Linked DNA regions of Rattus norvegicus. The protein of the gene in region 4 purifies or fractionates together with the protein of the main gene of each other region. This does not show direct contact. Links are inferred from orthologs where the notes say so. Each region holds a gene or a part of one and is shown on either strand. Other genes may lie near its edges.

Region 1 (8,177 bases), on a different chromosome or scaffold from region 4:
TGGCCCGAGGAGTGGCTCTGTTTGGAGGTGAGGCCTCTTGGAGTAGGTGTGTCACTGTGGGTGTGGGCAATGAGACCCTCCTCCCAGCTGCCTGGAAGTCAGTATTCTGCTAGCAGCCTTCAGTGAAGATGTAGAACTCAGCTCCTCCTGCACCATGCCTGCCTGGATGCTGCCATGCTCCTGCCTTGATGATAATGGACTGAACCTCTGAACCTATAAACCAGCCCCACTTAAATGTTGTCCTTATAAGAGTTGCCTTGGTCATGGTGTCTGTTCACAGCAGTAAAACCCCAACTAAGACAGTAAGTGGTGGAGGAAACCGAAAGGGTGACAAATACTTGTCAAGAGAAAAGGCACGAGTATGTCCCCATTCCTTGCTGTAGCTGATCACCGTGCCCTATCCTCAATTCCTGGCCAGGGTAACACCATAAGCTGATAAAGGGCCAGAGAAAGAACCCAGGTCTTTTGGATTTTTGTCTTCTCACAGGCATAAAATGTGAAGTGTCCGAGCCATTCATAGGCTATTTCCTGGCCTACACAAACACCTGCTTATTTTTGGTATCTCGTCATCTTTGCTGTTCTTCTACCAATGTGATCAAGCTACGGCATGTGAAGAGTCAGAATTTCACAGCGTCAGGTCTGTGAACGTAAGTGATGTCATACCTGATCAAACCTGGTAGCGAAGAGGTTGAGGGAGGTCACTATGCCGCCGTTTGGCCCAAGTCCATATCTGAACGTTCGGTTACGGATTAAATTGCACGTATGAGATTATACAGTTAGTACTTGGTTGTCATCCATCCAACGCATTATGGTATTGACGTCCAATTAACGAACGGGTGCTGGCAACCCAGGCTTTGATGACCACCCAACCCCAGTGTTTATTAGCAAGGCTCTCATTGCTGATCTCTCGTTTTAGGACTGGCCACACAAGGTAAGGACAATAGTGTGACTAAAAGTTAACGACTACACACGTCAAACAGTGACAGACTGCTGGCATCACCAGTTAAAATCATCTGTGTAGCCAGGTGTGGAAGCTCAATACCTTTAACCCCAGCACTCAGGAAGCAGAGGTGGGAAGATCTCTTGAGTTCAGGCCAGCCAGGGCTGCATGTAACACTCTTTATCCTGATTCTCACTAGGCAAGCAACCCTCCTAAGGTTACTTAAAGAGAGTTGGCTGTCATGCTGAAATTAACCCATAAGAATATAACTCAATGGGCTGGAGAGATGGCTCAGTGGTTAAGAGCAGTGATTGCTCTTTCAGAGGTCCTGAGTTCAAATCCCAGCAACCACATGGTGGCTCACAACCATCTGTAACAGGATCTGATGCCCTCTTCTGGTGTGTCTGAAGACAGCTACAGTGTACTTATTGCACTTGTAATAAATAAATCTTAAAAAAAAAGTTTTCTGGTCTAAATTCCTGTGAGTAACTTTTTAACCGATGACTGTATGACCCAAGGCAATATCACTTCCCCAGGCCCAGGCAGTCAACAGCTGGCCATGCATCTTCTCGGCTATCCGAGTTATGTTAAGAAAATGGAAGTATTATTGAAATCTCTGATCTCTCCTACACTCATCTTGTTCATCTTATGTCCTCTTAATATGATTACTGAAAATGAAGTGAGTTTGCTTGTATTGTCCCAATCTGACAGGTAAAACCTCTCCCCCAAAGCAATGAAAGGCAGCAGTTCACCATGACTGCTGACGAGAAAAAGGATACTGCTTCATGACTTCTTTGTACTTCACTGTGTCTCGAATATCTGAGGGGAAAGAGAGAGAATGGTTGCCTTTATTTTTTGAAGCATGACCTCATTTGTTGGGACTGACTTTGAACCTCCCAAGTAACCCAAGCTGTTCTCCTACCTCAGCCTTCCGAGTCTGAGGCTATACAGAAGTGTCACCATATCTTACCAGCATTTGCTTATACCCTCCTCTACACTTTCTTCCTGACTAGGGATAACTGCCAAGTATCCTATGAAGGATGTTAGACTCCTGGGCCTGGTGGCACACACCTTTAATCCTTGGGCTCGGGAGACAGAGGCAGATGGACCTCTGAGTTCAATACTGGCCTAATCTAGAGTAATTCCAGGACAGCCAAGACTACACAGAGAGACCCTGTCTCAAACAAACAAATAAACAAACAAAAGGTCAGAAGCTCTTAGTTATGATAGACTAAAATAAGATTACAAGTTTTAGACAATTTCAATGGTAGTGGGCACATGCACAGGAAAACCAATGAACAAATAAAAACAAGAAAAGAAAACTTACTAGCCGCTGCATGGTAATGAAGGCAATTCGTAGACATAGGAACAATAAAACTGTCTATTCAGATCTACCACCTCCTATCTGCCAGGGCTAGAGAGATGCTCAAAGATTAAGAGCACTTGAAGTTCTTACAGAGGACCCAGATTTAGTTCCCGGCACCCACATGGCAGCTCATAACTATCTGTAGATCCAGTTCCAGGGGTTCTGCATCCCTCTTCTGGCCTCTGCAGGAACCAGATACACCCATACATATAAAATGAAAGTAAATAAAAACAAACCTACCCCCTAGACACTAGATGAACAATATTACATTTTTATCCTTTAGTTTAAATAGAAAACTTGTTGCCCAATCTTTCCAAAATGATCAATGATTTTTGTTGTTGTTGTTGTTCTTGTTTGTTTATCAACACAGGGTTTCTCTGTATAGCCCAGGCTGTCTTAGAACTCTCTCTATAGAAAAAGCCGGCTTGTAACTCAGAGATCTGCATGTGGCTTCCTCCTGAGTGCTGGGATTAAAGGCGTGAGCCACTACTGCCTGGCCTAATCTATGATTCTTTTTTTTTTTTTTTTTTTTTTTTTGGTTCTTTTTTTCGGAGCTGGGGACCGACTAATCTATGATTCTTAAACAAGATTTCCACCTCCTAATTTGTATATGGGGTATAAGAAGCTTAATAGGATTAGCAAGAGACCTGGGAATCAGGCTCTGGACCCCCAAGAGCCCTGTCAGTGGATTACAGGCACTTTCATAATAAATCTACCCCTCACCCCCACTTTTTCTTTTCCAAACAAGGTTTAGCTATGTAAGTTGGACTGACTCAACTCTCAATATTCTGCCTCAGGCTTCCTTGGATCACACCAATACTAAATCTTTCTGATAGTCTCAAGCAGAACACTCTCCTCAAAACAACGCATATTTTTTTTTTTCTTTTTTTCGGAGCTGGGGACCGAACCCAGGGCCTTGCTAGGGCCTTGCTCTTGCTAGGCAAGCGCTCTACCACTGAGCTAAATCCCCAACCCCAACAACGCATATTTTTACACACACACACACACACACACACACACCCATAACTTTGGAAATGGAAGGAACCTTTCTACAGATCAGAGTGAATTATAGCAGAACTCATAAACTCTGACAAAAGAAACTAAACGATTCATGTGTCAGGTGGCACTGAGGACAAAGAGAGGGGGTAAATGAGAATGATACATAAGAGAGAGATAAATCTGAATAAGCAAGAAGCATGTTCTGGAACTCAGGCAAATCCACAGAAAAGCAGATAGTTAGTTAAAGAAGGCACTCACCAATATTGGCGGGAAAAGGGACTTCATGCACAGCCGGGTCCAGATTGATTACATATGGTGGACAGCCTTTGTTGTGCAGGTGTCCTGTGAGCCTCTGCAAAAACGGCGGCAGGGTCGAAGTTTGATGACCAAAGGACAGGAAAGGGCCCAGAGAATTCCCATTCCTTTCTGACTATTCTTATAACAATCTCCTTCTTCCCTCAACACTAAACTCTCAGTTTAAAAGCCATCTAGTTCCAGTACCTGATCTCTACCCTCCATCACGTCTTCGCTAACTTTGACCCTCTTTTCCTTCTCTGTCTCCTCTACTAAGACATTCACTCCGTGAAAGCAAGAACCATGTCGATATCATTGCCGCTGTATACTCAAGAGCTTAGAACATGATAGGTCAAACGAAGTGATTCTTTCACGACTCTTCACGCAAAACCAGTGATGCTGGCATTACCTCCCCCTGCCTGGGTCTTCGGAGAGCTGCCAATTCTCAGCAAGACTATTTCAGCTGTACCAAGCATACACTAAGGCTACGCAGGAGACTGCCTCAAGTGACCCAGGCTAGGGTTCGAGGCTTCGGGAAGGACCTGGAGTCAGAGGCCAGCCCCCAGAAAACCACGCGCCCAGACCCTCCAATTCCCCAGACAACTTCCTCTCGGGCCTGAGGCGCCATTACAGCCTCCACACAGTGCACGTCACCTGTACAAAGGTAGTTTTCCCGGATCCCGCCATTCCCAACACCAACAGACACACGGGGAGCTCCGGAGCCCCGGAAGCCTGGGGCTCGGCAGGAGCCGCGGGCGCCGCCATCTTTCCTCAGCCACGCCCACCACTCACAGATGGGCCTGCGGGCTGCGGACTCGCTGCATTAAGGGCTGTGATTGGTAGAAAAATCCGCCCTCTTGCGTATAGGGCTACGATTGGTCGGACGATCCGGCCTCTCTGAGTTTAGAGCTGCAATTGGCCGGAATAGCCAAACCGCGCTTTGGGCACCAGACTGGCTTCTAAGCATCCGACTTACAGGGACTATAGATGCTGTACTGTAGGTGCCAATAATGGCTTTGGACTAGTGACCAGGAGTATAGGGAACCAGAAAGGGTTGATAAGGGTAAGGTAGGACCCGGGAACGGCAAAGTTCCCAGGGGCGTAATGACGTGGGATCCCAAGCCAGGATCTGTTAAGATCCTAAGGTTAACGGACTAAGGTGGCGTTCCACCCTTTATTTTATTGGCTAAGAAGGAAAAAAAAAACTTTAAGCGTCATTTCGTTCAAGAAAATATTAAGTAAAAATTAACGTAACACTTGAAAGATAGCATGAGGGGTTGGGGATTTAGCTCAGTGGTAGAGCGCTTGCCTAGGAAGCGCAAGGCCCTGGGTTGGGTCCCCAGCTCTGAAAAAAAAAAAAAAGAAAAAAAAAAAAAAAAAAGAAAGATAGCATGAATACTGTATTTTAAATAACAGAGGAAGAAACCTCATCACCAAATGCAAAGGGGAATTAAAGAACCGAAGGGTGTTTGTGGCTCAAGTGTAGCTGAGTAATACCGGAGGTTATGGGTAGAGGAAGGGTGGAAGAATCTCATGAGGAAAGGACCGTATGACAGAGACTGTAACCAAAGTCTTATTTGCTCACCCGTATGGCCATTCGTCCAAGGGAAAAAGAAAAGACTAGATGGTGAACCAAAGGCCCAAGGAACCAGAAGGCTTCTTTTTTTTTTTTTTTTTTTTTTTTTTTTTTTTTTGGTTCTTTTTTTCGGAGTTAGCGCTCTACCACTGAGCTAAATCCCCAGCCCCCAGAAGGCTTCTAAAAAGTCCCCTTTAAGAGTGAGATAAAGGGTTAGGGTTGTAGGTCAAGGGTGGCCCTGGGTTTTGATGACATTCTTGGAGAATGGATAAAACTGTTGAAGAACAAAAAGGTTGTCTATATCTATACATATCTCATTTTATAATGAAGTGTGCAGGCTGTCGAGAGGACTAGTTGGTAAAGTGCTTGCTGCGCAAACGTAAGGGCCAGAGTTCAGACCCCAGCACTCACATGAAAGCCCAGGCATGGTAGATTGTGGCTATAATTCCAGTGCTGAAGAACTAGAGACCGGAGAAACCCAGCAGCTCAGTGGCCAGCTAGCTTAGCCAAAGTAATCAGCTCCAGGATCAGTGAACAACGTCTTCTTTTTCTTTTTTTCTTTTTTTTTCGGAGCTGAGGACCGAACCCAGGGCCTTGCGCTTGCTAGGCAGGCACTCTACCACTGAGCTAAATCCCCAACTCGAACAACATCTTCTTAAAATACCACCAAATGGATAGTGATTGATCTTACCTGACTCAGGCCCTCTCTGGGCAGCACTGTCTGGCTTGTGTTACCTTCTAGCAGTTCAGTTAGTTTAACCGTGATGACATTTAAATTTGGTGTCTTTTTTAGTTACAGTTACGTGTGTGAGCGTGCATGTATGTAGGCCTGCATACCATAGTTTGTGTATACGTTAGAGGACAACTTGTGGAACTCAGGACTCCCCACCATGTGGGCCCCAGGGATCGAACTCAAGTTGGAAAGCTTGGATGTGAACACCTGTAATTATTGACCCATCTCCTGGCTGTGGCATCAGCAATATGGCCAGTTGAAGTTTTGTGTGGGGAGATTCTCTGATGACCTTTAATATCCTCTCAGAAGGAGAAGAAGGAAAGGGAGAGGGAAGAAAAGAAGAAGGGAAGGAGGAAGAAGAGAAGAAAGAGCAAGGTTTGAAATTCCTACTGTCTCAGCAGAAATGACTATCAATCATTTTCCAAGAGCAAGAGAAACCCCACCTGTTACGTTGGAAATAAAAGAAGGCACATGGCTGGTTTGTTTAGTTTTGTTTTAAATAGATTTGGGTAGCAGGAGAAGCTGGAACCTGAGGATCATTTGTTTTAAGGTCTTTTATAGAACACCTGTACTCCCATCGCTCAGAAAGCGAAGCAGTGAGATAGCCAAGTTCAGGGTCAGTCCCCGCAGGTCAGGAGTAATTTGAGGTGAGGGAGATATGTGTGGTACCTGAACCATACCCCACCCTCTGCCTTTTCAGGACTCCTTTTTCTTTTCCTTCAAAGGAAAGTGATCAGAGGACATAATATAGATTATGTTGACCACACTGTTTGATCTTGTAAAAATTCAGTAGAACACTACAACCAGGAGGCCACGTTTTGGATACATGTAGGTTGTTGATATTAATATGAGCTCTCAAGTATGGTTCTGTGTAGGTTAGCTTTGAGTATCAGCTCAATACAAAGAAGAGTCACCTGTGGGGACAGAGTCTCATTTGAGAGATTCCCCAGATCAGATTGGTTTGTGATCATGTCTGTGGGAGGTTGTCTTGAATTTTAGCCAATGTGGGAGGGTGGAGAAGGAGCTAGCAAACAGCACTCCACTGTGATTTCTGCTCCAAGTTCCTGTGGTAGTTTGAATAAGAATATTCCCCCACCTGCCCCCTATCCCTGCACACTCATATATTTAAATCTTTAGTCACTAAGGAATGGAACTCTTTGACAGGATTAGAAGGATTAGGAGGTGTGGTTTTGTGAAGGCAATGTGTCACAGGGGCTTAAGGTTTTCAAGAGCCCAGAGCTGCAGGTCCAGTGTCTGTCTGTCTCTCTCCCCCTCCCTCTCTACCTCTCCCCCTCCGTCCCCCAGCCCTCTCCCAGCCCTCTCCCCCTCCCTCCCCCAGCCCTCTCCCCTCCCTCTCCTCCCCCAGCCCTCTCCCAGCCCTCTCCTCCCCCTCCCCTCCCTCTCCTCCCCCTCCCCTCCCAGTTATTCTCCCTCCCCCAGGTCTCTCCCCTCCCCCTCCCCCTCCCCTCCCAGTTATTCTCCCTCCCCCTCCCTCTCCCCTCCTCCCTCCGCCTTCTCACCTCCCTCCCATCTCTCTGTTGGACGTGGTAGCTCTCAGCTACTGCTCCAATGCCCTGCAAGCTGCCATGATGATAATGGACTAAACCTCTGAAACTGTACACAAGCCCCTAGTTAAACGCTTTCCTTTATTAGAGTCGCCTTGGTCATGGTGTCGCTTCACAGCAGTAGAACAGCTTCCCTCAACAATGGAAGTAAAATAAACCCCTTCCTGCCTACGATGCTTTGGCCACGGTGTTCACCACAACAGACAGCACAGGTGTGCAGATGGGAAATGTAAATGAGTACAGTGTAAAGCCAGAACGGGGTGAAGCCAGAACAGGAGCCACATTGGATAAGTTTCTGTGTCCTAAACCTAGTGTACCCTGCAGAACATGCACTGAACTCATGACCCCATGCCTTACAAATGTTGTCAAGAAATCTCCATCTATATTGTAGTCCCTTGCCCCGTAATGTATGACTCTTCTTCCACCGGATATATATTCTTCTATTCTGCCTTTTGTATGTTTTCTAACAGCCAGTGTTCTCTGTCACACATTACACCTATTTGCTATTAACGTTAACGTTACCCATAAAAGGAACCTCACAAAACTCTCTGCAGAATGTGAGACATCTGTGCAGCCGGTCCTGGGCACCTTCCTAAAATAAAGTTCCTCTTAGTCAGACAGTCTTGGATTTGGTCTTTATCCTAGCACATTCAGATTTAATAACGGTCACTTAAAAACGATTCATAAATAAATGAACTTGAACC
Region 2 (8,052 bases), on a different chromosome or scaffold from region 4:
AGAAGGTAATCAATCATGGGCCGAAGAATCCAATATTCTTTCCTATCTCTTGGAATGCAAGATGCTCTGGGTCACAACTAAATGGATAAGTTTTTTTTCCGGTTCTTTTTTTCGGAGCTGGGGACCGAACCCAGGGCCTTGCGCTTCCTAGGCAAGCGCTCTACCACTGAGCTAAATCCCAACCCCAATGGATAAGTTTTTATGTAGACTTTTTATTCTCTACAGAGATACCACACGAACCTGTATTATGCTAATTAATCAGGGCACTTAGATGCTACTGCTATATGTAATTTAGAACTAGTCTGTAAAGTGCTTTGAAAGTGGCAAGTGCTAGGCCAGATATGCAGAATTATTAGATATTAAAAGCCTTTGGTGTATGGGCATCTCGTTTAATGATTGGTTCTTTAGAGGACACAGGATTTTACAGCCAAACAGAACTTCTGATCTTGAATCCTTAACACTGCAGTGGTTTGAGTGCAACGTCATTAGCTCACCAGTGAGGTAGTGGGGGTATTTTTCAGTTTATATAAGCAAGTATGATTCAAGTACAAGTCTGTCACCCCCATTCTTCTGCCCTTTCTTTCATAGCCTTGGGCCAGAACTCACTATATACATTAGGCTGTCCTCAGATTCAGAGTTCTACCTGCCTCTGTCTGCAGGTATTAAGAGGGCACACCAACACCCCGAGCTCTCTCAGCCCTCTAGTTCCCACAGACTGCACACCGTTCCTTCCACACATGTGGCACTCCTGATGAGCCTATTTTCTCCCTGAGCCCATCTGCCATCTATATGAACTTTTATCTGAGCCTGTTTATGGCCACCCTAGATGGATTTACACTGCATGCCACAGGATGAGTGACAACCCTTTATTGCGATCCAACTGTGAGATCCGGTGGTGGTCACCAGTTGATACACTGTTTCCTCTAACTGGACTTTCTTACACCTTCCATTGGTTTTCTTCACTCTTCTCCGCCCTAACTGAACTGTCATCATCCTTGCTGCCAACTAAGCATACCACTCTAAGGGCCGTGTCTATTTTATCTTTGGAAAACTCAAACCAAGTCATTCCTCAGCAGAGTCCTCTCCTTAGACCCCAGATGAATTCGACCCACAGCCTAGTGGCCTCTGGGCTAATTTCAAAGGACCTTTTCTTCCCCAGTCATAGGGCTGACTTACTCAGCATCTTCCACAGCAGAATTTACTGTCTCATCAGGTATATACTCTACCTAACACTGAGGTTGCCTGAGGCTTGCTTCCCGGCCCCTTCCTTATCACTTTCCAGCCTCTGTTGACTTACATCTTTATGATCAGGACTCACATGGTTACCTTCAGCTTGTATCTCTCCCAGGGCCCGCAACCCTCACAACACAAGTTACTTCTAAGCTCCTTGTCCTAGTAATTGGCCTCGAACCTAGACAGGAGATGGAAACATCTGGTTCTCTATCTGACATCCTGTTCCTAGGACTTCACCCTTCTCCCTATTGTCCGTGTTATCAGCATTTTGGGCCACTTCTGGTCTGGTTTTGCTACAATTTGCCCCATCATCCCACTCTGTAATGGAAATAACACAGCACTCCAGCTCTTTTCCTCACTGAATCAAGAAGATGGGCCCTTCTCCTTATCTGCTATGCTAAACCATAGAAATCTTTAAGTTCTCCAACCTTTAGTTTCTGCTTCAGGAGCTCACATTTCCCCCCAAGTGTGCATTTGCTCTCCACTCCGCATAGCCTCTTCTTTTCCTACGATCTCTGGAACTCCTTCCCTGGTTTCTGTGTTCAAAGCAGACACTTCTCAAGTTCTCTATCTGGCCTTGTATTTGTTTAAAACTTTGTTTTTTTAACTCCATTTAAAAAAATTCCTACTGCCAAGCCAGGCAGCGGTAGTTCATGCCTTTAATCCCACCATGTGGGAGGCAGCCTGGTCTGAAGTGAGTTCCTGGACAGTCAGGACTACAGAGAAACCCTTCTTCCAAAAACAAAAACAAGTTTCCACTGTTATCTGTTTTCAAGGCCTGGTACAATGCAGGCATTCAGTGAGTACAAAAGTATCTTTTTAAAAAGTGGGTCAAGTCTAGGAAATATAGGCACTTGGCAGGGTACAAGAGGTCAAATATAACCTAAAGGTTCCTTTTTTTTTTTTTTTTTGACTTTTTGAGACAGAGTTTCTCTATGTAGCCTTGGACTTCCTATCTCACTTTGAAGACTAGGCTGGCCTCAAACTTAAGAGAGCTGCCTGCCTCTGCCTCTGCCTCTGCCTCCAGAGTGCTGGGATTAAAAGCATGTATGTATGTTGGTGCTGTTTTTCTGAGGCAAACTCTTGTTATTCAAGTCAGTTGGATCTTTAACTTGTAATTCTCCTGCTTGCATCTTTTTAATGCTGAGATTACAGGCATGCACCATCATCCCTGGCAGAAAGTGGAGTTCTGACTGAAGACAAGCATCACCAAAGATCCCAAAGCTCAAGAGCAAGAGGTGACTCGGCTCAGGAGTGACAGATACTTAGAGTGAATTAAGTCACGCCTGGGTAGAATACTTACAAGACACAAACGATTAAAGAGATAAACCAGATGACTCTTGGGATGTGAAAAGTTTTGTTAATATTGTTAGTTTCCCAAAATGTCATTTCTTCTGCAAAATGTCATTTCTTCTGTACAGAATTCTCTTCCTCCAAATCCTGACTTTCTAACAAATGTTATCTCTTCTATGTAACCCTGGGCTCCTACCTAAAGACTAAAAATGTTACCTGGTAATTCCAGTCTTTCCAATAATTAAAGTTGGAGCTGGAGAGACAACTCGGTTGCTGAAGCACTTGCCACAAACTTTAAGGATCTGATTTTAATTTCCAGAGCTTACGTAAAAGAAATTGGGCAGGGTGGCTAAGCTTCCAACACCAATGCTCGGGAGACAGATAACAAATAGGTTCCTGGGGTAGCCTAGCCTAACTGACAAACCCCTTTAACCCCAATATGTGAGAAACTAGGGCAAGGGCAAGTTTACCAAGTGCATTCCAAGTCAGCCGGGGCTAGCTGGTGAACGTGCCCTAAAACCAACCAAACTAAAGGTTAACTTCTGGCTTCCATGTGCATGCATACATATCCACACAAACAGGCCTGCACGAAACCTAGTAAAAACTGGTTTACTCATGTCGTGACTACATATTTCATTAGTGTTCTGGAATTCAAGCAATAAATTGACATCCTACAAAAGCTACGAAGATGGAGCTTGATACCAATTCAAATTCTCTTGCGAAATTAAAACTCCGAGGAGTACTTCACATTATCTTCATCCTTAAGGTAGTCTACTAATCATATCAAAGAAGCATTTGCATTAATAAAAAAAAAAAAAACAGCCCGGAGATGCCTTAGTGGGTACAGGTGCTTGCTGTGAAGCCCAACAATCATCAAATGGCTCCAATATGGCGTTAGGAGAGAACAGACTGCCATGCATGTACCACGGCATGTTTGTGTGCACATACAAGGAAAATGTAAAAACAAACACCACCTCAAGTCCCTCTTCCAATCTTCTTTCCAGCCTTTTAAATCATAGTGTCCTGGACCTCATTCTACTTTACCTCTCCTTCCCACAGCATCTCGATCATATAGAAATAGTCTTTTTAAGATCTGTGATCACAACCTCTGACTCGGCCCAATTACATCTGTTCACTTATAGTGTTGGTTCAATTAAGGGGTGACACCATCCTTGGGGGTTCATCTAGGTTCAAGGAAGAGAAACCACTCAAACTAGTTTAAACAAAAGCGAGAATTTATTAGGCAAACAGACTTGCAGAGATTCCAAAAGCTGTAATGGGTCAATAGCTAGAGCCACATTTTCCTATAGGACAGAACATGCTGTAGTCACCAATTCTAGTTCTGGGCTCTGTACCATCCTGAGGGTGGTCCTGCTTGTACCCTGCACGAGGGACTAGAGCGTGGGTTCGTTTTTGCTTGCCTTTTTATCTTTATAGTCCTTTACGCTGGCCTCAAACTTGACAAGCACATGCTGGCAGACATTCAAGAGCTCATTCAGGCCTTTCTGAAACGGCTCAACAGCTGGAAGTGCACCCCGTGTCTGAATTCGCAAATTAATTTTGCTCTCTGAAGGATGGGTCGTAGTGTAACCACAAAATTCCACTTCCGGGTTCTTCATGATTATGTACCGCAGACAATTTCCTAGTGTATGGTCCTCCTCGTGTAGTACAAATGTCACACACTGTCTATCTGTTCCAGCTGCCTGGACCATTTCCAGGGCTGTCTTCCTCTCGCCTTCAGCCATTGAGGTCTTCAATCCTGATATTTTTCTACACACATATTTTTTTGTGTAAGAATGAGATCATACGGAATATCGTTTTCTGATTAACTCTTAAAGATTCACTGCCTCATTTTCCTGCCTCCACACTTCTAGCCATAAATATTTAACTCGTTTCTCCCTACTTCATTTGACTCCAGCAAGGGGGTGGGTACCACCTCAGAAAAAAAACAAAACAAAAGAAAAACAACCCACGAAGTTAATTGTTTGCAAAAATCTTCGGATAGAGCAAAGAAAGGGGCAGAGTTATAATAGGGTAGGCCCTGCTTTAGATGAAAAGGGAGTTGACAGGCATAAAAAACACGATTACTTTAGCATAAAAATGGCAACCACAAGGTATCAGGGTGGCAGGCTCAGTTACAGCTTCCGTTTGAAAGAGGTAAGGAAACTAAGTGAAAGGAAGTGAAAAGTTTAATAGGAGGGAGAATTTGGCGGACAGAGAGAATTTACGAGCAGTCTGCACAGAGCGGAGTTGCAGTAACTTTAGCTAACTTAACACGCCAGGACCGCCACTCGGGACGGCTGGCCCGGTGCGTGACCTTACACGAGGCAGTTCTAATGAGGGTGGTGGCAGTTTGGGACTTACAGCTGGATTCCCTACCTCTCTCCCATCCCGGATGGCTAGCGTCCCTCTGGGCTTTTCTGTTATAAATGAACCCACGGCTCCTCCCTCTTCCCAACCCGGCCCGCTCTATTCTCTCTCCTCCCTTCCCCAGCGCCTGGGGTCAGGCCTAGCCGCCACGCCGGGCTCAGTCGGCCGCGTGCCCCTTCGCTACCCGCTTCTCTGGCCCGACCCGCCGCCCCACTCCACTCTTTGCCTCCAACCTTACCTCTCCAGCTCCTGATCGTCCTCCATCGCGGGGGGCGGCTCCGGGAAATCCTCAGGTGGCGCTGGCGAAAAGGAAGATCTTCCCCATGTCGCGAAAGGTGCGGGACAAGGCAGGAAGGAAGAAACCACCGACGGAAGGAGCGGATGACGGAAGGAGGGAGGCGGAGCCGCAGCGGCGCGGCAGGGCCCCCTCTGAAGGGCGGGGCTAAAACAGAACCCGCCCCCGACCACGCCCAGGCTCGGGCTGGACCGCTCACCTGGAACTGCGGAAGCCAGGCGGCTGCGGTGCACATTCTGTCCCCGAGTGCTACCGTAGATCACAGGCTTCTCGCCTGTTGCCCCGAGACATCTGCTATTTAGCGTCGGGGTCGGATCTCTGACTTGCTAGAGTCTCGAGGAACGGGACTGCCCCATGGCTGGCTATTCCCGGGACCGGAGTCCTCAGGGGCCTTTCCTGGGGCACCCAGCATATTGCAACCTTGAAAAAGCAGAGAGACTAGTGTGCAGAGGTGACTTTCCTGACGATACTGTGGGCTTTTTATTTTCTCCCAGGGGTGCAAATGTACATCTCCAATAGGTGCAAGGGCAGCGTTTGTCTTTCTTTTGGGAGAGAAGTGAGAGTTTGGAGCACCGCCCTCCTTCCTCCGGAGCTCACGCGGTGGACTTGCAGCTCCTTTTCCCTTTGAACCCAAGGAACCGCCCTTCTCAGGTGCATCCTCTCTTCTCCCACCTGACCCTGGCCAGGCTGGATCCCCGCCCCACCCAGCTGTCCTCTTGCCCTGCACACCTACACGTCAGCCGCCCCGCGCCACCTGTTCTCCCTCAGCCTGGTCCCGCAGCCCTCCCCTCCCTTCAGCTGTCCCACGCCAGGCGCGGCGCTCCAGGGGTGCACGCAGACACTTCCCGAGCGTCTTCTCTGTGTGTCTGAGGGGAGAATCCGGCCGGGAGCGATGGCGGAGGGCGGAACGCGCTCACTCTAACTCGGGAGTGATGAGCAGGGCCGACCCGGCCCCTAGAATTCCTTGATTGGTCGAGCGGCTCCAAGCCCGCTCTTAGTCCCGCCTTCGCCCGCCGTTGATTGGCTCAGGTGCGTGTCGGGTTGGGCCTCTGCGCTCGCCCCCGAGGGGAAAGGCAGCAGGGGCGGTTGAGAAGTAAAGTCTTGGCCGGACTTTGCTTCTCGCCAGGAAATCGGCGGCGGTGAGTCCCGGCAGAGCGGAGCCGGGTAGCGTCCTCGTTAGCGCGCCCGCGGGGAGCCCGCCGCTTTCCGTCAGTGAGTTACTTCGCCTCAGGTGCGGGCGGTGACGGGGTGTGGCGTCAGGGTAGGGGGGACCATCTGGGGAACCGCTGGGGGCCGCGTGGTGTCTGGCCCGGCCCGGTGCGGGTGCAGGTTCCAGGAGACCCGGTGCGGTTCTGCGCGCCTCTCGCTTCTCAAGACATGGACGTTTGAGGACGAGTTGTTGCACTTCGCGTCTGCACGTTGTCGGGAGCTAGAGTGGCGCTAGCCAGCTGCCCTTTGGTTTTGTTCCCTGGAAGGGATGAGCAGAGAGACCCTCCTCCCCGCCCCAGCCTGTTGCGGGGGAAGTCTCACCTTTCTCTTCAGATTTGACATGTTTGGGAGCGTGGGGGTATAATTTCCAAAATATGAATCCCGATTTGGAAGCATTTGCGCACAAAACACCTCTTGGGGAAAAACATCGCTGGCTTTTGAAAGCTTTCTGCCACGTTTCACACAAGGGCTTTTTTTTTTTTTTTTTTAAATGGAGTGTTCTAGTATTTCCGTTTGCATTTAAGATTGTGTGTTTGCCAGGAGCCTAAGGACGCTTCCGCGTGGCTTTTTCGAATCAATTTTTCTTTTCTCTGTAGCCTTGGCCAGCCTGGAACTCAGAGGGATCCACCTCTTTCCTGAGTGCTGTTGGGTTAGAGAGGCGTGCGCCCCACACCCCGCCAATTTTTCTTTAAAAATAAAATCACAGAAACCAATGGCAAGGATAGTTGGAGGATTCTGTGAGCTCCAGTTTATCCAAACTGCCTTCACTTTAAGAATGTCACATTCTTTGTAGTCACAGTACTTAGAAATTGGCCTCCTTCCCAGGACACAATTTGCTTTTTCTCTAGCCTGTACAGTGACACAGCACAGACGAAGTTGGATCTCAGTAGGTCAATCCTGTTTGCTTTGATAGATTTGAACACCCTCCCTCCCCCACACCTTCGGAAAAAAGGACTTTGGCAGGTAAAGAAGGAACCTGGGGGAATCTAGTGTCCTATTTGGCCTGCAGATCATTGTTGAGCCAGAGCTAAGAAGGTTTTGCCATTTTAGCCTGTCCAAATTCCATGTGAGTTTTCCCAAAGGGGTCAAATGTAGGCCAACTCAGAACAGCTCTAGAGTCACATTGCTTTTAATTTAGTCCATCCACTAAGTCTGTGTTCTTTTCCTCTAATCTTCAAGTTTGAGCCTTTTCATTGTATAAACATTTAGCTACTCAGTGTCTACCGCTTTGGCAACTTTGAGGAAAGGGATCATTTCTTGCCCAAAGTTGCTCAGTGGCTGTATACTTCTTAGTCCACTACCGGAAAGTAATTTGAACAAAGTAATGTGGGAACTTAAAATCATTTCTGCCTAGAATGTGTCAGAGGAATTGGCACAGGCTCTCTCTGGGAGCATCCTAAATGCTTATGGCTGTAGAATGTGACATTATCTGCTGTGCGTATGGTTAATCTGAAGAACACAATGTTTGGGGTTAAAGTAATAGGGGTCAGGGGCTGGTTTTTTTGTTCATCTTAGGTAGGGTTCATGGTATGTTCTACAACTGGACCCTCAGATATCTGTTGAAATACTAAAAAGAAAGGATTTTGTGTAGCACATGAAGACGTTTGGACACTTCATCCAGTCAGTGATCGTGGGGTGTTCATTTCAAGCAG
Region 3 (7,509 bases), on a different chromosome or scaffold from region 4:
GCTGGGAATTGAACTCAGGACCTCTGGAAGAGCAGTCAGTGCTCTTAACCTCTGAGCCATCTCTCCAATAGGGATGTTTATAGTAACATAAGAAATCATTTATTGGGGTTGGGGATTTAGCTCAGTGGTAGAGCGTTTGCCTAGGAAGCGCAAGGCCCTGGGTTCGATCCCCAGCTCCGAAAAAAAGAACCAAAAAAAAAAAAAAAGAAAGAAATCATTTATTTATTCATTCATTTATTTTTATTTACTTATTTACTGAGATAAGGTCTCACTGTGTAGCCTTGGCTGGCTGGTTTGCACATTCCTGTTTAGACCAGGCCAGTCTCATGTGCACCTGCCTCTCTCTGCCCTCTGAGTGCTGGGATTAAAGGTGTGCCCCACCAGCCGTGTCTCAGGAAGGGTTTCTTTACAGGAGAATGAGAACCTTACCAGTGGTTACAACAGCACTGAAGAAAATGTCCCTCCCTCTCCCATAACTTCTTATAATCAGGGAAGGGTAGGGCCCATGACCCCCTCCTTCTGTGACGGCATGTTAGCAGGCCGAGTCTTAGGCTGGTCTTGAGCAGTTAGTCACAGGTGCTGGGAGTTCAAGGGTGCAGCCCTTTCCTTCCTCCTCCTGTAACAAAAGGAAGCTTTGCTGACCAAAGCCAACAGCAGCACCAACCCATAACCTAAAACCATGTTCTGATTTAGAAGGCCTTTTACAGAGTTCCAGCAGTAGCTTCTCCCTTTGGTCCTTTGATTTCCATAGCCAGGAGCTTTTGAGTGCACAGTACCTTTTTTTATAATCTTAAATGGATTCATTATAGATTCTCAAGCTGAGAAGGGAAGACCACTGCCGTCTAGTGCCCACCAGTGCCCACCCTCTTAATGCCTGCATTAGATAGGGTTCACTGTCTCTCCCTCTGCATCTGTGGTGGTCAGCTGTGTGGTGTGGGAGTATGTGGAATGGAATTAAAGTCTAAGCTCCGAGCTTGTGGCCTTTTGTCTTAGCTCCTGGTTGCTCTGCTTCAGAGCCCCTGGCTTCTCCACAGCTGAGCACACTGTGGCTGTCTTCAGACACACCAGAAGAGGGCGTCAGATCTCATTACAGATGTTTGTGAGCCACCATATGGTTTCTGAGAATTGAACTCAGGACCTCTGGAAGAGCAGTCAGTGCTCTTAACCACTGAACAATCTCTCCAGCCCTTTCCCTTCCATTTTTATAATGGTAGTTAGACCCCTAACTCCTCAGACACCGTCTTCTTCCTGCTACAGATTATAAATCTTATATATGATTTTTGTACATGAGATAAAATATATTTACATTTAATTCAATTTTTAAACTCTTACTTTATGTGATATGTTTATGTGAAGGAGAGATAGAATCCTCAGCGTTCTCTGACCTCATCTGTCCCCTCCCCCACCTTATTAAGGCAAGGGTCTCTAACCACTGAGAAGTGAATGTCAGGCTAGTTAGCCTCTAAGCCCACAGTGATTCTCCTTTCTGTTTCCCATCGGTTCCATGGATCAAGCACAGGTTGTCAGCTTGTATGCCCCAGGGCCTTGACCTGCCGAGACACGTCCTTGGGTCCCTAACTAAAATTGTAAATCAATAATTTTATTTGTTGGCTGGTCATGTTGGCACATACCTATAATCTTAGAACTTGGGAAGTAGAGGCAGGAGGATCACAAGTTTAGAATTTTCTGCATAGCTCAGGTGTCTTAATCAGGGTTTCTATTCCTGCACAAACATCATGACCAAGAAGCAAGCTGGGGAGGAAAAGGTTTATTCAGCTTACACTTCCACATTGCTGTTCATCACCAAAGGAAGTCAGGACTGGAACTAAAGCAGGTCAGGAAGCAGGAGCTGATGCAGAGGCCATGGAGAGATGTTACTTACTGGCTTGCTTCCCCTGGCTTGCTCAGCCTGCTTTCTTACAGAACCCAAGACCACCAGCCCAGGGAGGGCACCACCCACAACAGGCCCTCACCACCTTGATCACTAATTGAGAAAATGCCTCACAGTTGGGTCTCATGGAGGCATTTCCTCAAGGGAGGCTCCTTTCTCTGTGATAACTCCAGTTTCTGTCTAGTTGACACACAAAACCAGCCAGTATAATAGGCTAGCTCTAGACTCCTTGGCTTAGCGGTTCTCTTTCCTCAGCCCCGCAAGTGCTAGGATTACAGGCTCCAATCACAATGCCTACCTAATTATTTTCTCTTATTATAAAAGAAGTGTTCGGGGTTGGGGATTTAGCTCAGTGGTAGAGCGCTTGCCTAGCAAGCTCAAGGCCCTGGGTTCGGTTCCCAGCTCCGAAAAAAAGAAAAAGAAAAGAAAAGAAGTGTTCATACATTATAGGGAAAATTAATGCACAAACAGAAAGAAAAGAAACAATCATGAAGGCCCATTGCCTGAAAGAAAACCACATTACAGGGCTGGGCATGTAATTTAGTGACCAAAATAATGAGACAAAAATTTTAAAGAATAGATTTACAGAAAAACTGAGCAGAAAATCCCCAGGGTTCCCTTTACTAATGTTGTATATTACTACAATGTATCTGTTACATATGAACCACTAGTGATATGTTATTATTCAAGGTTCATATTCCACTCAGATTTCTTCACTTTTTATATAATGGTCTTTTCATGTGTCATGATCCCATCCAAGATACCACAGAACATTTTGTCTCATGTCCTTGGGCTCCTCTGGGCTCTGACAGTTTCTCAGCTTCTTATTTTTAATAATCTTGACAGTTTTGAGGAGAACTGGTCAGGCATGCTGTAGGATATCCTCTGTCGGAAGCTGCTGTTCTTCAGGGACTAATCTGGTCTTGGGAGGAGGTTTGGGCATGAGGGTCACAGAGCTACAAGTGTCATTTCGGATCCAGCCCTGGCATGGAGGTCTGGCACTTGGAGCTGAGGTGGAACAAGGGTTCAAGGACAGCCTAGGCAACACGGTAAAACCTTGTCAAGGAAGGATGAACGGACAGGAGAGAGACAGGGAAGGAGGCACATGCCCTGCAGTCCCAGCACCTCCAGATTAAAAGGGCACCATTGTCTGCTACAGAGGTAATTTCAGGTCAACCCGGGCTCCTGGAGACCCCAAATCAAGAAAATGAGAGAGGAAACAAATGTGTCACTGCATGTTAAGAATACATATTGTCTAGAGTGAGTTTCAGGACAGCCAGGACTACACAGAGAAAGCCTGTCTCAAAACAAACAAAACCCACCTGTATTGTCCTTGTGAGTCGCCAGTGATGTTGATCTTGGTCACTAACTGGAATGGTGTCCATTAGAAGGGACCCCATACACTCCAACTTGCCAAAACACGTGGGACAAAATTTCCCATTCTGAAGAATCAGGAATTATGTTCCTTTCCTGTTAACTTTGTTTATTTTTTAGCTTGTGCTATCTACATGGTTTGTTTAGAATTCTGCATGACGCATTTGCCTTTTCCCAGTCACTTATAACACGATGGACTCATGGCGTTTACTTTGGGATTATAATCTAATATTAATTTATTTCATTGTATTGGAAGCTGAAGTGATGGTTCTGTGATTGAAAGCACTGATTGCTCTTCTAGAGGATCCAAGTTTGGTACCAGCACCCACTTCAGGCTGCTAACAACCACCTGTAGCTCCAGTCTCGGGAGAAACAGTGCCCTCTTTTGGTCTTCATGGGCACTACACTCATATTATATATTATATAATATATGAGTGCAAAACACCCATACACATAAAATAAAAATAAATAAAGATCTCAAAAAATTGAACAAATTGGTCTTGTTTTTAATTATGGGTCTATGTGATCTCTGTGTATACACATGACTCAGGTGTCCATGAAGGCCAAAGGCATTGGAGCCCCTGGAGCTAGAGTCTGTGTGTGAGCTGGGAATCAAATTCGTGCCATCTGGAAGAGCAGTACCCACCCACTCTCAACCACTGAGACATCTCCCTAGCTGAATGTTTTAGCACTTTTAGGTATTATTTACTTTTACTTCTCTGAATGTGCACCACTTCTGTAGAAGTGTCTGTAGGCTGTGAGAGGGCATTGGATCCAGAACTACAGTCACAGGCACTTGGGAATGTCCTGATGTGAGCTTTGGGAACCAAACCCAGGTCCTCTGCAAGAAAGAGCACCGGATACTTTTACCCACCAAGCCATCTCTCCAAATCGTGTTTAAAAACTATTTTTAAAAATGTTTTCGAAGTGTGTGCATGAGACTGCAGAGGCCCGTGGAGGCCAGATGAGGGTGTTGGATTCCCTGGAGCTGGGGTGACAAACCGTCATGAGACACCAGACACAAGTGCTGGGGACCAAACTATTCCTCTGCAAAAGCAATGCACATCTTAACCACTGAACATCAATCCAGCTTCGTTTTTTTTTTTTTTTTTTTTTTTTTTTTGGTTCTTTTTTTTCGGAGCTGGGGCCAGCTTCGTTTATTTTGAGACATGGTCTTGCTATTCATCCCTCAGTGGTCTGGAACTGTGTGTAGACCAGGCTAGCCTCAAACAGGCAATCCGCCTTCCAAGTATGCAGCTAGGAAAACAGCTTTGTGGTATCATTTCCGACTTTGTTTTATTTATTTTTTAATTAATTAATTATATCTTTCATTTATTTGCCTTTTTTTTTTTTTTTTGAGACAAGGTTTCTCTGGGTATCCTCGGCTGTCCCGAAACTCGTTCTGTAGATCAGACTGGCCTCGAACTCAAAGCAATGCTCTCCTCAAAGCAATGCCTCCCTCTGCCTCCCAAGTGCTAAAACTGAAGGCGTGTGCCCGCACTGCCCCCAGCACGTTGGCTTCTTTGAGTGTCACAGAAAAGCCTTGGAATGTAGCCCAAAGGTAGAGAGAGTGCTTGTCTAGCATGAGAAGAGCCCTGGTTTGAACCCGGCCCCAGAGACAAAAAGTCACCTGCCACAGAACACCACAGGCGGTGCAGCCCACTGGCTTCGAGTCTCTTCTAGTATACTTCTTATCTCTTTGTTTTTGTCTTTATTAGGTTTTTCTCACTGGATCTCTGCGTATCCAGGCCCCCTCCACCATGGCCAGCCGGGGTGGGGGCCGGGGTCGTGGCCGAGGCCAGTTGACCTTCAACATGGAGGCTGTAGGCATTGGGAAGGGTGACGCTTTGCCTCCACCCACTCTGCAGCCCTCTCCACTCTTCCCTGTGAGTGTCTCCCTTCCCTTCCTAAGCCTTCCATGTGCCCTCATTGAATCCTTGTGAGCACAGAGTCCTCCTGGCCCGTCAGGAGCCATCCACACCTTGATTCTGTCTCTACAGTGACTTCCCATAGGAGGTGTTTCCCAGGCAAAGAAGTGTTTATCTTCACTCTTCACACCCTCCACGCTCCAGCTCTCAAAGTGCCCTCCATCTTTCTGGCCCTCCAAATTCTTACTGAGAACACTGGGTTTTACTTGGGGGACAGGTCCTTTAAGGTTGGACTGCAGCACTAACCACTGTGCTTCCTCAGCCCTTGGAGTTCCACCCGGTGCCTCTGCCCGCAGGAGAGGAAGGGGAGTATGTCCTGGCGCTGAAGCAAGAGCTGCGTGGGGCCATGAGGCAGCTCCCCTACTTCATCCGGCCAGCTGTCCCCAAGAGAGGTCAGTAGGAAGGCTGGGGCAGAGCCCGCTCAGCATACTGGGGGCCAGAGAGGCTTAAAGTTTACGTCTAATGGAGAGAGCATTAAAGTTCCGTCTGTGTCTGAAATGTATCACCTTATTGGAGATTTGAGCTGAACCTTAATCTTGGGGTTAGTGGGACATTAAAGCATTAGCATCATAGTGCAAATGTACAAATGGGGTAGTGGGGTACAAATGGATTTCCAATTCATCGATTGGAGAGACCTTGATGCTGGGCTTCTGCGTATCCTACCTGTGCAAAGCCTTCTCCCCTTCACTAGTGAGAGCAGGGGACTGGAGAAGGCAGGGCTGCTGGCAGGCTTGAGTGAGTGGATGTTTGCCCTGTGAGAAGTACTGCCAGTTGATGCCTTTCTACTGAGTCTACTGAGTCTGCTTCTCTACTGGGAGCTGAGGGCTCAGAGGTGGAAGACTTACTAAGCTAACCCATTAGTGAGAGGGAGACAGAAGACGGAACCCTGGTCTTTATTCCAGTGTATCCTGTCCCATGGAGCACACTAGAAGAGGATTCTGGACAAAGACAAGAGTAACAAAAAGGCAGGCTGGAGGAGAAATAAGGCTTCCACCCAAGTGGGCACCACTGGGCTCTGGGTTTAGAGTAAGGCGATCGATAGATAAAAGGGGTAACCCCTTCCATCAATAGATAAGAGGAGTAGACCCTTGGGAACAAATATTCTAAGGATAAAACTGTGACTCATGGGCTCTGACCCCCAGATGTGGAACGTTACTCAGACAAGTATCAGATGTCTGGGCCGATTGACAACGCCATCGATTGGAACCCTGGTAGGTGACTGGTCCTTTCCAAATGCCCTTCTTTCAGATGCTTAACATCTAAAAACAAGAGTCTTAACATGTGCTCTGCAACACTTTCTACTTGAAAACCCTATTTGTAACGATAGTGCCCACCTCTCCAGAGGCGTCCAGCCTACAGTTTTATTCTGAAAATCTTCAAACCAACCCCTTCCTTCCTGCCCTTTTTAATACTCCCCTTCCCTCAGTACCAGCCATCATTTCCGGAAACCCCTAGCCAGACAAGGTCCTAATGATTTTCACTTCCACGCTTCCCAGATTGGCGACGACTACCCAGCGAGCTCAAGATTCGAGTGCGGAAAGTCCAGAAGGAGCGTGAGTGAATCTGCAGCAGGAGGAGGAGGTTTCGTCAGCCGGTGCCATAATGACCACACGAGGGCAGCAGAGGGCCGCGTTTGCTGCAGGAGGGTGGCGTAGGCTCAGCTAGACTGGAGGGAGAGATAGATGGCTCAGCTGATAGACACCTGCCACCAATCCCTAGGACCCACGTGATGGAGTTGGAAGGACGGACTCATTCTAACGTCTGCCTGGGTGTTACACACACACACACACACACACACACACACACACACACACACACACACACACACACACAATTTAAAAGCCAGAAAGAAACCTAGTTATGATATGTGCTTCCTAAGGACTCACTTTTTGATCCTCCAAACAGGGACCACCATTATCCTTCCCAAGAGGCCCCCTAAGAGCACAGAGGATAAGGAGGAGACGATCCAGAAACTAGAGGTGAGAGGGAAGTGTAATAGGCAGCTGGCCTCAGGGTCCCTTAGAGCCTCACTTCTCCCTTCCTTCTCTGAGTGTGAGTTTCTCTTCCTATTCATCCTCACATGAGACTCTAGAGAAGAAGGAGGAGGAAGTGACTTCAGAGGAAGATGAAGAGAAAGAAGAGGAAGAGGAGAAGGAAGAGGGGGAGGAAGAGGAGTACGATGAAGAGGAGCATGAGGAGGTGACAGGCACTTCTGCCCCTCCCCCCCTCCCCCTTCTTTCTCCCTCACAAGTTTTGGGCTCACAACTCTAACCCTCTCTCTCCCTCTCTCCCTCCCTCCCTTTCTCTCTCTCTCTC
Region 4 (6,321 bases):
TGTTTCTGGTGCTTAGTCTGTGTTCCCCAAACTGTACTTGATCCTTGTTGATAATGTGTTAATGTATGTTTGAAGTAGAAACTTGTTCCACGTTTTTTAAACCATCTGGCAAAGGTCACCCACTCACCTATCCAGTTCTAAGGAAGCCATCTGTTTTGCAAGCTTGTTGGAGTCCTCAAAATGACTTTGTTCCAGGTCAATAGGTAGAAGCCTGGCACCTAAGTTTACTTTTGAAACCTGAGGATCTGCTGAGGTATACCAGTTGACTATGTATGTAGAGTTGGGCTGGAAACTGGGTTCCTAAGAGTGGACCTCCAGTTAACTAGGTAGATACCCTGGGATAGGCAAAGATCAGAGAGCTACCTGGGACAATCTAGATACTGGGCTCATAGGGCTAGCCTGGATTAACTAAGGTCAGACCAGTGCTAGGATTTACTGGAAACCTTGCTTAGGTCTGGAGCTGCAGAGGAATGAAAGGGAAGGCCACAGGGTCATGCATGGCATTGGATAGGCTTGGAACATCTTCCTTGGTACCCATGGCTAGCCATGTATCAGTGGGAGCCAAGTGATGCTGGAGATGGGCCTGAATCATATAGGATCAGCCTGATTCTGGCGTGAAGTCCTAAATCAGCACTGAATGAACAGTACCGAATGAGTGTTGGCTTTGGGGTCCAAAGCAAAGGCCAGTGCTTACTTCCTGGTTCTTTCTGTGAGTTTATTTTTCACACAGACTGGGGCTAAGGAAGGTGTGTTGTAATACTGTGTTCCTCTTTATTAAGTGTTGTATGTTGGGTTCTAAGATCTGTAGTGTCCTTAGCTCTTATGAAGTATTTTTGCTTGTGGATAGTTAACTGAGTTGATGTTTCTGTGGAAGGAAGGAGCTGAGAGGTGGAAAGTGCTGTTGTCGCTGTTGTTACTGCTTTTCTTCAGCATCCCATTCTTCCTCTCTTAAGTTCACTCAGCTTTTGGAATTCAGTGTTGTTTTTGTTTTTATCTAATGCATGGCCTTAGATGCACAGAGACTGAACTGAGTCAAGTTCTTCCTATATGGTCTGTTTCAGCTGTGCCAGCCCACATGAGGGCTTCCCCTTTCAAAGGGCAAAGGACCCTAGAATATGGTAAGGACATGTTCCTCATTGGTTTGGTAACTTTTTTTTTTATTTATTCATTTATTATATATAAGTACACTGTAGCTGTCTTCAGACACACCAGAAGAGGGCATCAGATCTCTTTACAGATGGTTGTGAGCCACCATGTGGTTGCTGGGAATTGAACTCATGACCTCTGGAAGAGCAGTCGGGTGCTCTTAACCGCTGAGCCATCTCTCCAGCCCGGTTTGGTAACTTTTAACTGAGTTAACAGCTCATATGTGTTAACAGTTACCAAGAGCCACCCTAGTAATCGATGTAATTAACAAATGTTCATTGGAGAGTACATCCCTGATTGACGCCTTACTAAATTATACTAAAGGGTCTGATATTTCTTCGAGAGAGGAGAGCACAGAGCATTATTTCAACCCTTGGCAATTAGTGACTGCGCTGCACAAGATGTGCTAGAGCAAGAAGTCTTAACTAGGTGGCAGACGTCATCTCACCCAGCCTACCTCACCTTTTCCCTGTCTTCTAGGACTATATGATCTGGCATGTTCACCACAGCTGAAGTTTGGCAATCCGGCATGTAAATCATGGCTCTGAGGGGTTTAGAAGTGTAAAATACCACATTCTGAAGACTTAGGTAAAAAAAAACCTTTATTACATTTTGATTTAAAATATTTGGGCCTGAAGTACATTAATATCTACTTTTAAAACTATTTTAATGTAAGTACTAAAACCTTCAAGGTTAGTCAGCTCTCACATTCCCACAGGAGGAGTACTAGCTCCCTTCCCTACTTAAGAAGCTGGTGTTCACTTTCCATCCTCCTTCCCTTCCGCTTGCAAGTCTGCAGCGAGCTAAGGCCACTCTGTGACTGTCCCTGTGTGTGTGGCGGCCTCAGCAGTGTGAGCAGACCAGTCTTCAGACCAACCTTGCAAGGTCAAAGTGAGTATCACCTGGTGTGATGGCGTCATGGTCTCCCTTCTCTCTCTGTACTGAATGCTTAGACAGCACAGAGGACATTTTCTTCCTGCAACTATTTGAGGACAGCAGCACCATGATGCCAGTTTAGTGTTAGCATTTATTTTAAAAATACACAAAATATAATTTTTTTTACATCAAAGTGATAACCTCGCTTACACACTGTTCCACACTTACCTGGTTCCATTTGCACCTTTATGCAAACAGTAGGAGACGATGGAGTTAATAGAATGTTTGCTATGGTCTGTGTAAACAGTTGAGACCGCTACAGAAAGCAGGCTGCTGTATAAGGTAAAGTGGCCTTAGAAACCCAACAGTAAAATGTTCAATTTGGTTTAATAAAATTGGCAGAAGTCTTAGCAGAGAGAAACTCTAAGACTAATTATTAGCTTCTAGGCATTTTAAATATTAAAAACCTTAAGGTTCTCTTCATCTTGTAAACATAACTTTAACTATGTTGGCATTCATTTAAAAGAGGAAAATATTAAACCATGATTTTCATAATCCTGCCCATGTCAGTGTACACTCTCTTTATTATGAGAATGAAACCCAATAAGCAAAATACATCAGGAATTTCAAATTGTACTGCAAAGAAGGCCCGGCTGGTCTCTGTTGGGAGCGATCTCACTTACGCTGACCCTGCCACTGGCTGAGTGTGAGCCCCTCTGTCCTCTGGGCCAGGCAGTGCCACAGGCCACCAGGTGGGCAGATCCTCTTCCTGTGTCTTGAGGCAAGTCGAGACTACGTGTGGCTCTGCCGTCCTTCCCTGGGCTTGGGTTCGTTGAGTTAGTGGTTTGCTACTATTGTCAGGATTGTACTGTCCCCTTAAGGTACCACATGCCACCACAGCTTACACAACAGTCCTAGAAATTAAGAAAACTGGGTAAGGGCAGGTTCCGGCAGGAGAGAGCTATTGCTGTCACAGCCTGACTCACGATTAGCGGACAGAGTGCAAACAGGACATCAAAACCTGCCTAAGTGTGCTGTTGGGTAGCCGCTTTGACCCTATCGGGTTTCCAGCCACCATACCTCAGGGACATTTTAAGATGTGTTACAGATTTTGCTGTATCAACAGAAAAAAACTTTTCAAGTTGACTACGACAAGGGACATATTAATAAGGCCTATTGTCTACATGACTAAAGGTAACAGGGAATGGGGCAGTGGCTTTCTGTGCCCACCTCTACAATGCACACAGTTCATGAGAGCATTCAAAGTGTTTTCACATTAAGCAAACAGAAACTCCTCTTTGTCGTTGTTGTTTGGAGGCACGGTTTCTCTCTGTAGCCCTGGCTGTCCTGCAACTCACTCTGTAGATCAGCCTGGCCTCAAACTCAGATCTGCCTGCCTCTGCCTCCTGAGTGCTGGGATTAAAGGTGTGCGCCACCAGTGCCAGGCAGTATCCCTTTTTTTTTTTTTTTCTTTTTTTTCGGAGCTGGGGACCAAACCCAGCCTAGCAAGCGCTCTACCACTGAGCTAAATCCCCAACCCCCAGTATTCCTTTTTTAATTAAAATTAAAAAAAAGATTGTACTGTCAATTATACAAGTGGGTGCAAGATGATGTACACCTCCTCATACCCAGTCCAACTCTGCGGCATGAAAAGGCTCACTTTCCTGCCAGGGTACCAGTGCTAGTCACTGCCAGTTGATGGCCATCAGACTGGTGGGCACTAGGGCTAAGCTGTTCTGATTTACTATATACACAGCGGGAACAAAGATACCAGACACAACCTTTCCACGTATGTGTGTCCTTAAAACAACAGGTCAAAGTCACAGCCTAGATGCTCTGCGTGACATCTTGTGCACAATGGACATACCTTTAGCACTTTATCCACCTCCTGCTTGCTTAGCTCTTCTCCACATTCTTGAGTCAGCCGAGACTGGATCATATTCCGACGTACTCGGTAATTTTTGGAAAATATTTCAAGCAAAACCTGTCGATGCTTTATTTAATTTAAAAAAAAAAAGTGTTAGTTCGATAGTGATAGTATCCCAAATGTGAACTATCCCCAAACAAAAGATCCAAAATGATGGCGCTGGCCCCACCTTGCAGTGTCTAGTGGCTTAGCACTCCTGGTTAAAGATTAGCAAGACCGACCTATTGGTCACTGTTGCAGACTTCAGTGAAGGAACTCAGGATGAGCAGTTTGGACATACAAGGAAGTGAGCAGAAGCATCTAGTTTAGACTGGGTGGGGGAAAGGTATCTAAATTGGTTCAAAGTCTAGACACAAGCATAACACTGAATCCAGGAAACTGGAAAATGCACCAAACTCCTAAAGAGACATTAAATAGCAGAGGACAAATAAGGCCATCCTCAAAACAGAAGGGAAGAATGAAAACTGACTGCAGAGGGTGATGACTCACACACACCTCACAATCCCTGTTGGGAAAGGGGCATCAGCATGAGTTCAAGGCCAGTCAGGGCTACAGTGAAAAATTCTGGTCTCAAAAAATGGGCAAAGACGACATCTAGTAGGTTTAATAGCTCAAATGTCTATAAGGATTCAAAAAGGTAAAGAAATTTATCAGCCTACAGGATTCTCTAAGAGCCCAACTGTCTAGTAAATAAAGAATTCAGAATACATCAAGGTCCTACCAGTGTAGGGAACAATATACGCCATGCAGTTTGCAGTTAAGGGAAGATCTCACGAGAAGAGTATCACTGAATTTCAACTTTGAAATGATTACGATACCCTCTTCCTAACGGGGGGAAATTATTTGCCCTGTAAAATTTTAGTTCTATTAGTACCAGCAGTACTTGAGGGCAGAAAGAAAGAACGCTGTCGATATCCCATCAGAGGCTAAGACTCTAGACACAGGAAGAGCCACACATGGAGAAGCAGTGTCCTCACATTCCACAGGAGTCGTGCTGCTGGTCTGCTGGGGTCAGAACAGCAGACTAGTGCACAGAGGAAGTGAGCGGTGAGATGGCTCAGCAGAGAAGGTGCCTGAAGGCCTGAGCTGGCTCTCTAGCCCCACATGTTGGAGAGGAAGCAGTAACTGCAGCATGAACATGTTCTGTGCACTAGCATGTGGTAACCACTGATCGGCTCACAGTCACAAACAATCGGTCACCTCTGAGGGCAGAGTCAGCTTCCCCACAGTTCTTTAGGCCCTGTTCAGTTTTAAATGAACTTACTACTTTTTTTCCCTTAGTGATCTGAGAAGCTAAGTAGGAAAGCCTCAAGCTACCTTTCTTGGCCAAAAACAGGGTCACTTCAGGACTCCTGTTAGAAGCGAGGCCTCATACCCACTCTTGCTCTCAGCCTTCCTGTCCCCCTGGCAAGTAAAAGGGAAACAGGCTTCAACAGGATTCACTCCTGTCTCAACCTGACTGGCATGTCTGCTAAAACCAAAACACTTTAATCTTTGGAATTCAGGCAAGTTCATGATTTAAAGGCATCTGGACCTCAGCTCTTTCCCAGAGCTGAACTACCCAAACACTGGAGACAGGATCGCAGAACAAAATAACCAAACTCCAGGTTTAAGACAGCTAATAAAAAAGCCACTGAGAACTCTCCTCTGCACGTGGTTTCCAAGCCTGCCTGCATCACTATCATAGAGCTCTAAAGCTCAGAGTGAGGCCACCATACTGCTGGAAACAGTCATCTTTTCAAAGGTGATACTGTTCTAATTCGACAGACATCCACCCAAGTTCAGGGGCAAACCACTGGCACACATGGCCTATCTTGGAGTGACTGGAAAACCTGACATGTCCAACTATACTCTAGTGTCAAGATTCTAATAGCCTCAACCTTCTAGGACTCCCGCTCTTAAAAAAGAAAGACGACAAAAAAAAAAAAAAAAAAAAAAAAAAAAAAAGGCACCTCACCTGGTCACTCATGTCTCCAGACTCCCAGAGGGCAAATACCTTCTGCTCATCAGGGGAAGCAGCAGTCTGTGGGGGAAACTGGCCCAAGCATGAGCTGGTCATTTCTCTGCCTTGTGATCTGCTGCCCTGCCCACTTCAACCCACCTAGCCTGCAACCCAGCCCTAGGCAAGAGCGGTCGAAGCCTAGTTCTCCCACTCACTGGCTCTGAGATGACAGTGCGACAACAGGTATTGGGATGGCATTAGTGTGTGTGATGCTGCTTTGAGGCATCTACCTGGACTTCTACTCTAAAGTCTCCTCTTCCCTAGCATTCCTCAGGGCTTCCGGTCAGCTGTTTCCCACAAGGGCAGCATAAGAAGTGTGGCTAAAACAGGATGTTGGCAGACTCCCAAGCCTTTTATACCACTTGCTTCA

What was found.
Region 1: the proteins of Polr3e (region 4) and Gpn1 purify together in Homo sapiens (affinity purification with mass spectrometry; 3 studies listed by BioGRID and IntAct, with this or other methods). This does not show direct contact. The link is inferred for Rattus norvegicus from reciprocal best matches to the Homo sapiens genes POLR3E and GPN1.
Region 2: the proteins of Polr3e (region 4) and Polr1d purify together in Homo sapiens (affinity purification with mass spectrometry; 3 studies listed by BioGRID and IntAct, with this or other methods). This does not show direct contact. The link is inferred for Rattus norvegicus from reciprocal best matches to the Homo sapiens genes POLR3E and POLR1D.
Region 3: the proteins of Polr3e (region 4) and Polr3gl purify together in Homo sapiens (co-immunoprecipitation; 5 studies listed by BioGRID and IntAct, counting the BioPlex papers as one, with this or other methods). This does not show direct contact. The link is inferred for Rattus norvegicus from reciprocal best matches to the Homo sapiens genes POLR3E and POLR3GL.

What each region holds. Positions count from the first base shown.
Region 1 is NC_086024.1:30,680,631-30,688,807, forward strand, and holds the start of Gpn1 (GPN-loop GTPase 1), read right to left. Parts: upstream 4,382-8,177; 5' UTR 4,365-4,381; coding exon 4,254-4,364; intron 3,658-4,253; coding exon 3,564-3,657; intron 1,760-3,563; coding exon 1,720-1,759; intron 731-1,719; coding exon 664-730; intron 1-663. UniProt on the Homo sapiens protein: Small GTPase required for proper nuclear import of RNA polymerase II (RNAPII). May act at an RNAP assembly step prior to nuclear import.
Region 2 is NC_086030.1:13,112,875-13,120,926, forward strand, and holds the start of Polr1d (DNA-directed RNA polymerases I and III subunit RPAC2), read right to left. Parts: upstream 5,196-8,052; 5' UTR 5,161-5,195; coding exon 5,135-5,160; intron 1-5,134.
Region 3 is NC_086020.1:186,802,672-186,810,180, reverse strand, and holds part of Polr3gl (DNA-directed RNA polymerase III subunit RPC7-like), read left to right. Parts: intron 1-4,983; 5' UTR 4,984-5,025; coding exon 5,026-5,151; intron 5,152-5,455; coding exon 5,456-5,585; intron 5,586-6,335; coding exon 6,336-6,404; intron 6,405-6,689; coding exon 6,690-6,746; intron 6,747-7,098; coding exon 7,099-7,172; intron 7,173-7,278; coding exon 7,279-7,392; intron 7,393-7,509. UniProt on the Homo sapiens protein: DNA-dependent RNA polymerase catalyzes the transcription of DNA into RNA using the four ribonucleoside triphosphates as substrates. Specific peripheric component of RNA polymerase III which synthesizes small RNAs, such as 5S rRNA and tRNAs.
Region 4 is NC_086019.1:184,921,380-184,927,700, reverse strand, and holds the end of Polr3e (DNA-directed RNA polymerase III subunit RPC5), read right to left. Parts: intron 5,985-6,321; coding exon 5,907-5,984; intron 4,016-5,906; coding exon 3,890-4,015; intron 2,937-3,889; coding exon 2,880-2,936; 3' UTR 2,163-2,879; downstream 1-2,162. UniProt on the Homo sapiens protein: DNA-dependent RNA polymerase catalyzes the transcription of DNA into RNA using the four ribonucleoside triphosphates as substrates.